Sus scrofa: one gene and its partners. The protein of the gene in region 2 binds, or shares a complex with, the protein of the main gene of each other region. Links are inferred from orthologs where the notes say so. Each region holds a gene or a part of one and is shown on either strand. Other genes may lie near its edges.

Region 1 (3,747 bases), on a different chromosome or scaffold from region 2:
AACTTAAAGATGACTGTTTATAAAAATGTGTGTAGCTGAACACTTAAAATTAGTTCATTTAACCCACTTATAACGATTTAAAGGTTTTTAAAGAAGGTTTGAAGAAAAGTCCTGGGTGATGATCACATTAATGTATAGCCAAATGAAAAAAAAATTCAGCCAAATGAAAAAAATTCATCCACAAAATTTATGCAGTCTAGGAGTTCCCGTCGTGGTGCAGCGGAAACGAATCCGACTAGGAACCATGCGGGTTCGATCCCTGGCCTTGCTCATTGGGTTAAGGATCCGATATTGCCGCGAGCTCTGGTGTAGGTCACAGACTCAGCTTGGATCTGGCATTGCTGTGGCTGTGGCGTAGGCCGGAGGCTACAGCTCTGATTAGACCCGTAGCCTGGGAACCTCCATTGGCATGGGTGTGGCCCTAAAAGGACAAAAGACAAAAGACAAAAAAAAAAAAAAAAAATTATGCAGTCTACCGTGTAGTACACCTCAATTTAAAAAGAACGGGAGTTCCCCTCGTGGCTCAGTGGTTGACTAATCCGACTACGAACCATGAGGTTGCTGGTTCAATCCCTGGCCTCTCTCAGTGGAGTAAGGATCCCACAATGCCCTGAGCTATAGTGTAGGTCACAGAGTGGCTCGCATCTGGTGTTGCTGTAGCTGTGGTGCAGGCCGGGAGCTGTAGCTCTGATTCAACCCCTAGCCTGGGACCTTCCATACGCCCCGGGTGTGGCCCTAAAAAGACAAAAAAAAACAAAAAACCAAAAACCCACGAAAACAAGAACAAGCCTCCTGGGGGATAGCCCAAGGGGCAGTATTTGCTCTCACTCGCCCTTTGGTGGGGGAGGCCTACAGGGGGCGCCCCAGTGTCGGCGGCGGGTTGCGATTCAGCACAAAGGCTCTTGCCTCACGGGCACCAGAGACCTTGGGGCTCCGGTGGGAAGGACTTGGGAGTCCCCACCCATCCCGCCCAGCAGCAGTTCCGGGAACCGTCGCCTCCGGCCACCCCGCCACCCAGCCACCCAGCCACACCACTCTCTCTGCCGGCCGCGCTGACGTCACCGCCTCGCCTCGCGCCGCCGTTCTCGCCCCGCCCCCTTTCCCGTCTTGCGCCGCGGTGAGGCTCCTCGCCCTCGGCTTCTGCCTGTCGCCCCAAGATGGCGGACACAATGAGCCGGTGCCGCGCTTGTTGGTCCTGAGGTGATTGTGAGGGGGAACGGTCGGCAAGGCTCCACAGTTCAGACAGAAGAGTGTTGCCCGAGAAGGCGGAGGAAGAGGAGTAGGTGGCCCGACTGTCGCCCGCACTCCCTCTGGCCGCCAGCGCAGCGCCGGTCCTGCCCCGGTCGGCCCCTCGGCAGCCCGCCCGCCCGCCGGGCCCCGCCCCGGCCTTGCGCCGCCGCCTCTAGCAGCCGCCGCCATGAAGCTGACCGACAGCGTGTTGCGGAGCTTCCGCGTCGCCAAGGTGTTCCGCGAGAACTCGGACAAGATTAACTGCTTCGACTTCAGCCCTAACGGCGAGACAGTCATCTCGAGCAGCGACGACGACTCCATCGTGCTCTATGACTGCCAGGAGGGCAAGTGAGTGCGGCGGTGGCCTTGGGCTCGGGTCTGAGTCCCTCCCGCCATCCCCGTCTAGGCCCAGTGCTAGTCCGGAGGCCCGCCCTCCGCCCGGCCCCCTGCCTGTTTTGCACACGCTCCTGCCAGGACCGCGTCCACTCCGAAACTGTCCAGGAGACCTTTTTCTTTCTTTAGAAAATAAGGATAGCAATAATAATAATAATAATCGTATTTATTTTCCCCGCCCCCGACCTTCTCAGCGAGCGCTTTTGCAGCGCTGGCCGAACCCCACCTTGACCTTGACCTTTAAACGCCCGGTCCGCCCACCGCGGCCTCAGCTGGTAGCTTTTCCGCCCCTCCGACTCCCTCGAAGGTGCCGGTTTGCTGTGGCCCCCGCGCGGAACTGCAGAGGTTGCTCTGCTGCCTCATTCAGCAGCGGCAGCTCCCTCTCTCTGCCCTTTCCATGGTGACCTCGATTCAGGCCTGGCACTCCGCCCATCCCCTGCCCCTCAGCTTCCCGCCGCCTTTCTGCCTGAAGGCCGCGTGGGTTGCAGTTGTTAGCTGTCAGGATTTATTTGTTGTGCCTCTTTGGGCCCTCTTTCTTTTCCTTTCTGTTCCAAATAGTTCTCTTACTCCCTCAGTGCCGAAGCCTACGTTTATAGTTAACTTTTTAACAACATCTGAAACTTTTCCTTTTTGCCAGACACGTACAAACTTGGCGGTCCAGTCCTGACCTGAATGTGAACCTCCCAGTAGAACAAAGAAAGCATCGTCTAACAATTTCATGTTTCCTCTTAACACTTTCTTTTAAAGTTACACTTTATGGTCTACTTGGACTTAGCAAAATTCCTAGTTAGACCATGACATTTGTAGGTTGTCCCAAGTCCTCTGGAGACTCATCACACCTGTATCTCTGCAAAATCTTGAAAGCACCGCATTTTGCTTTTTTCCCTGTGCACCTGTCCGCTTTGCCTCACGCATGTAGTCCTTGCTAAATTGTGAGTTCCTTTGGAGTAGAAGCTGGTTTAGGTAGGCTAAATTTGATTTCCCTTCAGCCATCTTCCCCAAGCAGGCTTGTGGATGTTTGGTTTTAAAGCAGGCTACTGGTTTTCTCAGACTTCATTTTGCTATCTAGTTCCAGATCTTATTTTTTGAATCCTTGAGTTTTTCTCTGTTCCTTTTGTCTTTTTTATTTTTGTTTAAACTGATGTCTTCTATAAATTTTTGGAACTTGTTTCTTCACTTGTGAATTAAAGCTGTATGGCGCTGAGCTATAATTTCTCCCCCTTATAACTTTCCTGCTGGTATTGTGAAAAAGTCTTATGTTACTGGCTTCAGGATCTGCCTGAAGTATGTGGAAGAGGGTCCTATAGTGGTGGTTCTGAGAAAAGGGTTGTTATTGTTAGCTGGACCGATGCTGAGTGATTCAAGTCAATGTTACTCATTTCTGTCCAAATCTGGCCACTTACAGCAGCCTGGAAGAGAGAGTAACCTATAAAGCTGGGGATTGGAGTTTTGGAGTCCTGGAGCTGGAAGTAATTTGAAGTTGACTTGCTTGAAATGTTTAGTGCTTGTGCACAGATTAGAACCTCTCCTTGGAACCTGGAGATAGAGATGTATACCTACCTCATTTAAAGGAAATGAAGATGGTGATAGCATTTCTTCACAGTATGTCTCCAAATATGGCATATTTTCCACTGATTGGTTGTAGAAATGACATCGACTTGAAGTGTTGTCTTGTTAAAAGTAAAATGTTAATTTTATAAATAATACAGTTCATTCATTCAGGTAGCATTTTACATAATTACAAACTTACAGAAAAGTTACCATATTGTTTCAGAGACCTCCCACTTGATCCAATAATTGGTTACATTTTGCCCCATTTGTTTTGTCATTATCCATGTGAATGTTTGTTTATATGTGTGTGTCTATATATGCATTTTTGTCTGAATCATCAGTAATATGGAGGTATTAAGGCTCTTTATCCCTCAACACTTCAACATGAATTTACTAAGCACAAGAACATTTTCTTAGGTAACCAGAGTACAGTTATCCAAATTAGGGAATTTGGTATTTATACAGTAGTATACAGTATGCTCTTTAAAAGTTGTATGGATTAATTGTGACCTGTTTCATGTGGTCTGTGGTAAGAGAGTGGCTTGATAAGAGACCTGGGTTCTAGTTTTGCTT
Region 2 (3,647 bases):
ATTGCCCATGAGCTGTAGCAGCTGCAGCTTTGACTTGCCCCCAAGCCTGGGAACCTCCATATGCCATGAGTGTGGCCCTAAAAAGACAAATAAATAAAAAGATAAACAAACAAACTGTAATTCCCAAACTGCTTCCTCTCTAGGAGAGAAGGAAACAAAAGCTAAGTGGGAAGGTAGCAGCATCATGTTCCTGTTTTCTTCTTCTGTGTTCAAATCATTTATTTTTACTTTAATATTTCCTAGTTTTTCTTTATTTTATATTTGACAGTCTAGAGTATGATTTAGTTATGTAGTAAATCCACTAAAAGTAACTTCATTATTGGATTTTACCCATGATCTTACAGATTATTTGTGGTAAAAGATTTGGAGTAGATCTCCATTCTAGCATGTGGCTTATTACCCTTCTGTTTTTTGTTTTTTTTTTTTTTTTTTTTTTCTATTTTGGCCACTCGCACAGTATATGGAAGTTCCCTGGCCAGGGAACAAATCCAAGCCACAGTGCAACCTATGCCACAGCTGCAGCAACACCAGATCCTTAACTCACTGTGCCAGGGCAGGGATAGAATCTGCACCACCTCAGAGACAACACCAGATTCTTAACTTGCTGCTTCACAGTGGGAACTCCCTTCTGTATTCTTGATCCCTGTCATTATTTTACTCTTCTTTTTTAAGAAAAAGAAACAAACGAGTTCCCGTCATGGCTCAGCGGTTAACGAATCTGACTAGCACCCATTGCACTTTGAGTACGCAAGTTCAATCCCTGGCCTTGCTAGTGCATTAAGGATCCGGCCTTGCCAAGAGCTGTGGTGTAGGTTGCAGATGTGGCTCGGATCCTGTGTTGCTGTGGATGTGGTGTAGGCCAGCAGCTACAGCTCCAATTTGACCCCTAACCTGGGAACCTCCATATGCCACAGGTGCAGCCCTAAAAAGAAAAAAAAAAGAATCAAACAAAATCCCCCCCCAAAAAATGCCCATAAATAATGCCTTGTTAATTTGATACAATGGAATTAACTCCAGATGTTTTATGAAGGCTAGCTAGCCCTTTGTTGAACAATCCTCTCTTGTTTTGTATGTGAGTTTTTTTCAGTTCTCATAAACAAATAGTATCATTCTCATATCTCAGCAGAGTTGCTTTTTTATTTATTGTGGTAAGCAGAAAAGGATAGTTATCTTTTGCTTTACCAAAGCAACCTGTATCTTCTTAAAAACTGTAAACCACTATTATACAAGTTTTAATCTAGAACAATAAATATTTCCCCAGATCCTTTCTCTTGTTCCTGTAACTTTGTTTGTTTGCATGAGAATTTGGTAAAAATCTTTGTACTCCCTTCCTGAAAAATGCTGACATAAACTTAAAGGAAATTTCAGAAAGAGTCATGGACCTGAAGTTAAGAACTTCCACATAATAACAAAAATTATGAGCTGTGTACTGAGAAAAGTTAAGTTCTTGGGGAGAGTTTTAGTTTTTCTTCAAGAATTGTCTGCTCTTATGCTCTTTATGTTCCCCTCTTGTTATAGCCCAAATTTTTAACATGATGAGTAAGATAGTAAGGCTCTTAGAGGAGGAAAATAAAGAAATGAAGCTATATCCGTATATTTTTTTCTTCTAGGAGACTTGTTTCCCAATGTGATTCAGAGAAGTTGGGCATTTCATAGACATTCTTTCTCCCTAGTTTTACTAGCTGGAAATACTCCGTCTAGAAAAATTTATTTATTTATTTTTGGTCTTTTTAGGGCTGCATCCACGGCATAGGGAGATTCCCAGGCTAGGGGTCAAATTGGAGCTGTAGCCGCTGGCCTGTACCACAGCCACAACAAGGCCAGATCCTTAACCCACTGAGCGAGGCAAGGGATCAAACCTGCGTCCTCATGAATACTAGTCAGATTCATTTCCGCTGAGCCATGATGGGAACTCCTAGAAACACTTAAAATAGCGATATTGGAATTCTCTTGAGATAGAGCAGATTAAGGATTCAGTGTTGTCATTGTAGTGGCTTGGGTCGCTGCTGAGGTTCGAGTTCTATCCCTGGCCCATGAGTTTCCATATGCCGTGGATGCAGGCCCCCCCCCCAAAAAAAAGAACATAGCATTTATTATTATTTTAGGCCAGACGTATGTCTCTTAGCTCCATGAATGGTGGCCTCATTCAGGATAGAGAGGATATTAAATTGTACTTAGACTTAGAGGAAGGGATTGGGTCTTCCAGCTGGAGTAATCTCTTTTTTTCTTCCTCTCTTGCAGAAAGGCTTGTTCAGAGCAAGACTAGGAATGTGTTTGGGAACAGTTAGAGAACCGGTTTGCCTTCTGGCTGTATCTCTTACGAATGTTTTTCTCACTATTATCCTTACCTTGGCATTGTTGGGTTTTCCGAAAATCTTGTACAAATGGGAGTTTTATTTGTTGTTGACATCATGATTTCTAAAATGGAGAAGAGGTAGGAGATTCTTAAGTGTATATCTTTTAGAGGGGCGTAAGTTTCCCATGACGGTACCTTTTAGGATCTGTTTCAAAGAAACCTAGAGCAACAAACTATAATTGTGTGGTTGACAGTTTGTGTGATGACACAGTACATTTGAAATACCTGCTGTCTATTAGAATCTTTAGAGAGATTTAAGCATCATAGCTAAACAGGTTATAAAGGGTAGGTCCTTACAATCAACATGGTGAAGGTAGAAAAGAGATAAAAGAATTGAAAACTGTGATTGATGTTGGCAGCCTTGTATGTACCAACCATATAAAGAAGAGGAGAGACTTATTTGTAAAAATAAATAAGTCCTAAGAAACTGATAACAAAAATAGGATCTAGGCTGAAAAGAGGTTTGCTGACAATCTCCAGTGCTCGGCCATGTTCTTAACTTAGCAGTATGCAGTCTCTCCTCTTCCCACTAAGTCTTTTTCTCTTCTCCTCCCTGCAGACGTTCCATACACCAAGCTTAGGCGATGAGGAGTTTGAAATCCCACCCATCTCCTTGGATTCTGATCCCTCACTGGCTGTCTCGGATGTGGTTGGACACTTTGATGACCTGGCAGACCCTTCCTCCTCTCAGGATGGCAGCTTTTCAGCCCAATATGGGGTCCAGACATTGGACATGCCTGTGGGCATGACCCATGGCTTGATGGAGCAGGGCGGGGGGCTCCTGAGTGGGGGCTTGACCATGGTAAGGGGCAAGACGTTATCAGGCTTACCCACGCTCATATTAAGGCCTGATGTAAGGGAGGATATAAATGACACTCTGTTCCCCACTACATTCAGGATATTACTTATTTCTCATTCTTCTGGCTCAGGCTCACCAACAAAGATTTCATTTCTCCTGAATAAATGAGATTTATCATCTGAATCAATTTTACTTGAAAAATTTTTTAAATTATAAAATGTCCAGTGTTAACCCTGAAATGAAAATGATTTATTGGGATTTTTGAAAGAAAAAAAAGTTTTTTCCCCCTACTATTACGGTTTTCACATCCTAGGATTCAAATGTGAGAGTGAGTGGCCTTGGTGATAGTGGTGAGCATAGCTGCCTTGCAAATGTAAGTGTGATAGCTGCCATGTTAAGGGATGGATTCAAATATGTTTGGGAGGTCCCTTGTGGCGCAGAGGGTTAAGGATCCAGCATTGTCACTGCAGTGGCTCGGGTTGCTGCTGTGGC
Region 3 (3,747 bases), on a different chromosome or scaffold from region 2:
GCCAGGCTGCCTCCAGATTTGAGGTTACTGGCATGTAAAACCCTCAATTCAAGGTTCCAATGAGAATTACGTTTTTTTGTTTGTTTGTTTGTTTTAATTTTTTTGTCTTTTTAGGGCCGCACCCTCGGCATATGGAGGTTCCCAGGCTAGGAGTCTAATCGGAGCTCTAGCCCCCAGCCTACGCCATAGCCACAGCAACGCCAGATCTGAGCTGTGTCTGTGACCAACACCACCGCTCACGGCAGCGCCGGATCCTTAACCCACTGAGCAAAGCCAGGGATCAAACCCGCAACCTCATGATTCCTAGTTGGATTCATTTCCGCTGCGCCACAATGGGAACTCTGAGAATTACGGTTTATTGAATGTTTGCTCTTCACGAAATAACATTTTTCACATGCGCACAATGTAGCTTAATTATGCTACTCAAAAGGCAATGATAAAACATAAAAAAAAAAAAAAAAAAACAGGGAGTTCCCCATCGTGGTACAGTGGAAACGAATCGGACTAGGAACCATGGAGTTTCAGGTTTGATCCCTGGCCTCGCTCAGTGGGTTAAGGATCTGGTGTTGCTATGGCTGTGGTGTAGGCTGGCAGCTGTAGCTCTGATTGGACTCCTGGCCTGGGAACCTCCATATGCCGTGGGTGTGGTCCTAAAAAGGACAAAAAGACAATAAATAAATAAATACATAGATAGGAGTTCTTTCTGTGGTGCAGCGGATTAGTGGTATGGCTTGTCTCTGTAGAGGCGCTGGTTCAGCATTGCTGCATCTGTGGCATAGGTCGCAGCTCCAGCCTGGATTCAGTCCCTGGCCCAGGAACTTCCACGTGCAGCTGAGAAAGAAAAAAAAAATTAACCGCTAATTCAGCTTGCATCACAGGCACTGTGGACCAAAATGGGCTTGGAGTTTAGTGACAGGTTTCTAGGTCTGGTCAGTCACCTGGGGGCCACAGAGACTCCGGAGGTAGAGGCCCTTGAATTAGGTCCAGGTCTTGGACCAACCCTTTGCTATCTCTGTGCACTTCAAGGACTTGATCGGCAGTATTTGGGGAGACCCAATGAGTTACCGATGAGCTCACACCAACTTCCCGCCCAGGGCGGAGGTGAGAAGGACTGCGTAGCCCTTAAAAGAGAAAAACAACTTCCACAGCACTTCCTGTCCCATATTCTCTGGAAAGGGGTGGCCAACTTCTCATAGGCAGAACTAGACTCGACCTCGCCCCTCGAAGCCCCGCCCACCAAGAGGCTCCGCCCCAGAGATGGGCGTTCCGTCCGAGTCCCGCCCCGTGACTGAGGCCCCGCCCCCCGGGCCGCTTGGGCCTCTGCGCCCGGCGTCCGGCGGAGGCGCTAGAGCGCTGGGGCAGCGGACGGGGCGGGGCGGGGCGGGGCGACGAGGGGCGGAGCGGGCGGCCGAGGAGGCGGGGCGGCGGGCCGGGGCGGGCCGGGCCGGGCCGGGCGGAAGGAGAGCCAGGCCGGAAGGAGGCAGCGGGAGGGTGGGAGGCAGGAGCGGGCCCGGAGCTGCTGGGCCAGAGCGGCGGCGCCGCCATGTCCGACAGCGAGAAGCTCAACCTGGACTCTATCATCGGGCGCCTGCTGGAAGGTTGGCCGGGGCGGGGGAGGTGGGCGCCCGCCGCGCCCTGGCCCCCTTCCCGGCCCGGAAGTGGCGCGCGGGTGGACCTGCCCCTCCCAGGGCCAGCTTAGACTGGGCGGGGACGGGCCGCGAGGTCCCGTGGCCGTGGCTCTCCCCGCCAAATCGCGGCGCGCCTGGAGGTCTGGGGTTGTTCCCCGCGCTGGAACAGGGCCGGGGCGCATGGGTCGGCCTGGGCTCTTGGGGTGAGGGAGAAACCCGAGAAGCCTAGCCACCCGGGAAGGGGTCCTGCGCTATCAGGCTTTGGGTGGTAGGGCCCCTGCGCACAGCAGTCCCCTCCCAAGTGCCTTGAGGGTAGTTGGGGTCCGGTCCCAGGAGGCTCAGCAGCAACAGCTGCCTCTGGGCAAGGAGGGGCCCAGGCGCCCCAGAAGTGCTCATGAGGGCCTGTGTGTCACCCACCCTCTCCTAGTCTCAGGGACCAGGGTCCTGACGCTCCTTCCACCCTCAGTGCAGGGCTCGCGGCCTGGAAAGAATGTACAGCTGACAGAGAACGAGATCCGTGGTCTGTGCCTCAAATCCCGGGAGATTTTCCTGAGCCAGCCCATCCTTCTGGAGCTGGAGGCACCCCTCAAGATCTGCGGTGAGCCCCCTGCCCAGCCCCTTTGCTTCCTGGAAGTGGTTTTGGCCCCTCTAAAGTCCCTGGATCCCAGCCTTATCCCTGGGTTCAGGTTTAGACTGAACCTAGACCTGACCTGGTTCCCTGGGTCCCAGGTGACATCCACGGCCAGTACTATGACCTTCTGCGGCTGTTCGAGTACGGCGGCTTCCCTCCAGAGAGCAACTACCTGTTCCTGGGGGACTACGTGGACCGGGGCAAGCAGTCTTTGGAGACCATCTGCCTGCTGCTGGCCTATAAGATCAAGTACCCGGAGAACTTCTTCCTGCTCCGTGGGAACCACGAGTGTGCCAGCATCAACCGCATCTATGGCTTCTACGATGAGTGTAAGTGCCATGGGTGTCTGGGGCTGCCCGGGTCCTAAAGGGCTCTCCTGGCCATTCAGAGGGACCCTCGAGTTGGCCTGGCAGCTGGGGTATCAGTGTCTGACAAATACCTGCTAGACTGAGCTCCGTGAAGGCAGGGCCGGGCCAGGCCAGTTCAGGTCTCTCCACCTGCCCTCCTGGCATGGGTCCTGGCACTCAGGAGGGATCTGGTGAATGGGTGCTGGCTGCAGGGCTGCCCGTATTCTAATAAGGGCCTTGCCCAGTGACACTCCCCTCCAGCGCATCCGTTACTTAAGCACTTAGGCTGCCTGTCTGGACTGGACTCTGTTTGCCAGAAGCAGAGATAAACAGACCTGGTCTTGGCCTGGCCCTGCTCATGTGCTGCAGGTGGGTGCCAACCCTGAGGTTGTTCCAGAACTGGAATGCTGGGGTTCCTGGAAAGCTGGTAGGCAGTGGGATGGGTTTCCCTTCCTTGCCCTCTCTGCTTCCCTCCCAGCTGTGTCTGAACAGCACATGATGTGCCCTGCAAGGCCCAGGGACCCCGGCTGAAGGTGGGGCAGCCAGGCCTTCTCACGAGCCACCTCCTTCCTCTGGGCAGGCAAGAGACGCTACAACATCAAGCTGTGGAAAACCTTCACTGACTGCTTCAACTGCCTGCCTATCGCTGCCATTGTGGACGAGAAGATCTTTTGCTGCCACGGAGGTGAGAGCAGCTCTGGGGCCCGCGCTGGAGGAGTGCTTGGGAGGGACGAGCCTGGCCCCATCCCGGGGGGCTTGGGGACAAAGGCATCAGCTGCAACAGTTCTCCCCCGAGTCGTTTCTTCCATGAAGTCCCCCCGCACCCTCATGTCAGGCTGTGCTGTCAGGTCGTGGCCACAGCTTCACACGTGGAGTTTGTCTCCTTTCTCCAAGGAGCCCTGTGCTCCTTGAAGAAACAGGGGCTACGAGAGGCAGAAGGTGGCGAGGTCTGCCTGTCATGGCTCCCAGGAGACCACGGAGGGGTGGGGACAGAGGCTGATCGGCAAGGCTTCCCGGAGGAGGCAGGGGCCTCGTTTTGAGGCTCAAGGAAGTGATCTACCTCCTGTGCTCCCCAGGCCTGTCCCCCGACCTGCAGTCCATGGAGCAGATTCGGCGTATCATGCGGCCCACAGACGTGCCT

The links.
Region 1: TOX4 (region 2) and WDR82 share a complex: the UniProt entries of both Homo sapiens proteins name them as parts of the PNUTS-PP1 phosphatase complex. The link is inferred for Sus scrofa from reciprocal best matches to the Homo sapiens genes TOX4 and WDR82.
Region 3: TOX4 (region 2) and PPP1CA share a complex: the UniProt entries of both Homo sapiens proteins name them as parts of the PNUTS-PP1 phosphatase complex. The link is inferred for Sus scrofa from reciprocal best matches to the Homo sapiens genes TOX4 and PPP1CA.

What each region holds. Positions count from the first base shown.
Region 1 is NC_010455.5:34,409,538-34,413,284, reverse strand, and holds the start of WDR82 (WD repeat-containing protein 82), read left to right. Parts: upstream 1-1,094; 5' UTR 1,095-1,417; coding exon 1,418-1,578; intron 1,579-3,747. UniProt on the Homo sapiens protein: Regulatory component of the SET1/COMPASS complex implicated in the tethering of this complex to transcriptional start sites of active genes.
Region 2 is NC_010449.5:77,688,854-77,692,500, reverse strand, and holds part of TOX4 (TOX high mobility group box family member 4), read left to right. Parts: intron 1-2,915; coding exon 2,916-3,158; intron 3,159-3,647. UniProt on the Homo sapiens protein: Transcription factor that modulates cell fate reprogramming from the somatic state to the pluripotent and neuronal fate. In liver, controls the expression of hormone-regulated gluconeogenic genes such as G6PC1 and PCK1.
Region 3 is NC_010444.4:5,118,694-5,122,440, forward strand, and holds the start of PPP1CA (serine/threonine-protein phosphatase PP1-alpha catalytic subunit), read left to right. Parts: upstream 1-1,508; 5' UTR 1,509-1,543; coding exon 1,544-1,598; intron 1,599-2,094; coding exon 2,095-2,226; intron 2,227-2,357; coding exon 2,358-2,588; intron 2,589-3,186; coding exon 3,187-3,291; intron 3,292-3,682; coding exon 3,683-3,747. UniProt on the Homo sapiens protein: Protein phosphatase that associates with over 200 regulatory proteins to form highly specific holoenzymes which dephosphorylate hundreds of biological targets.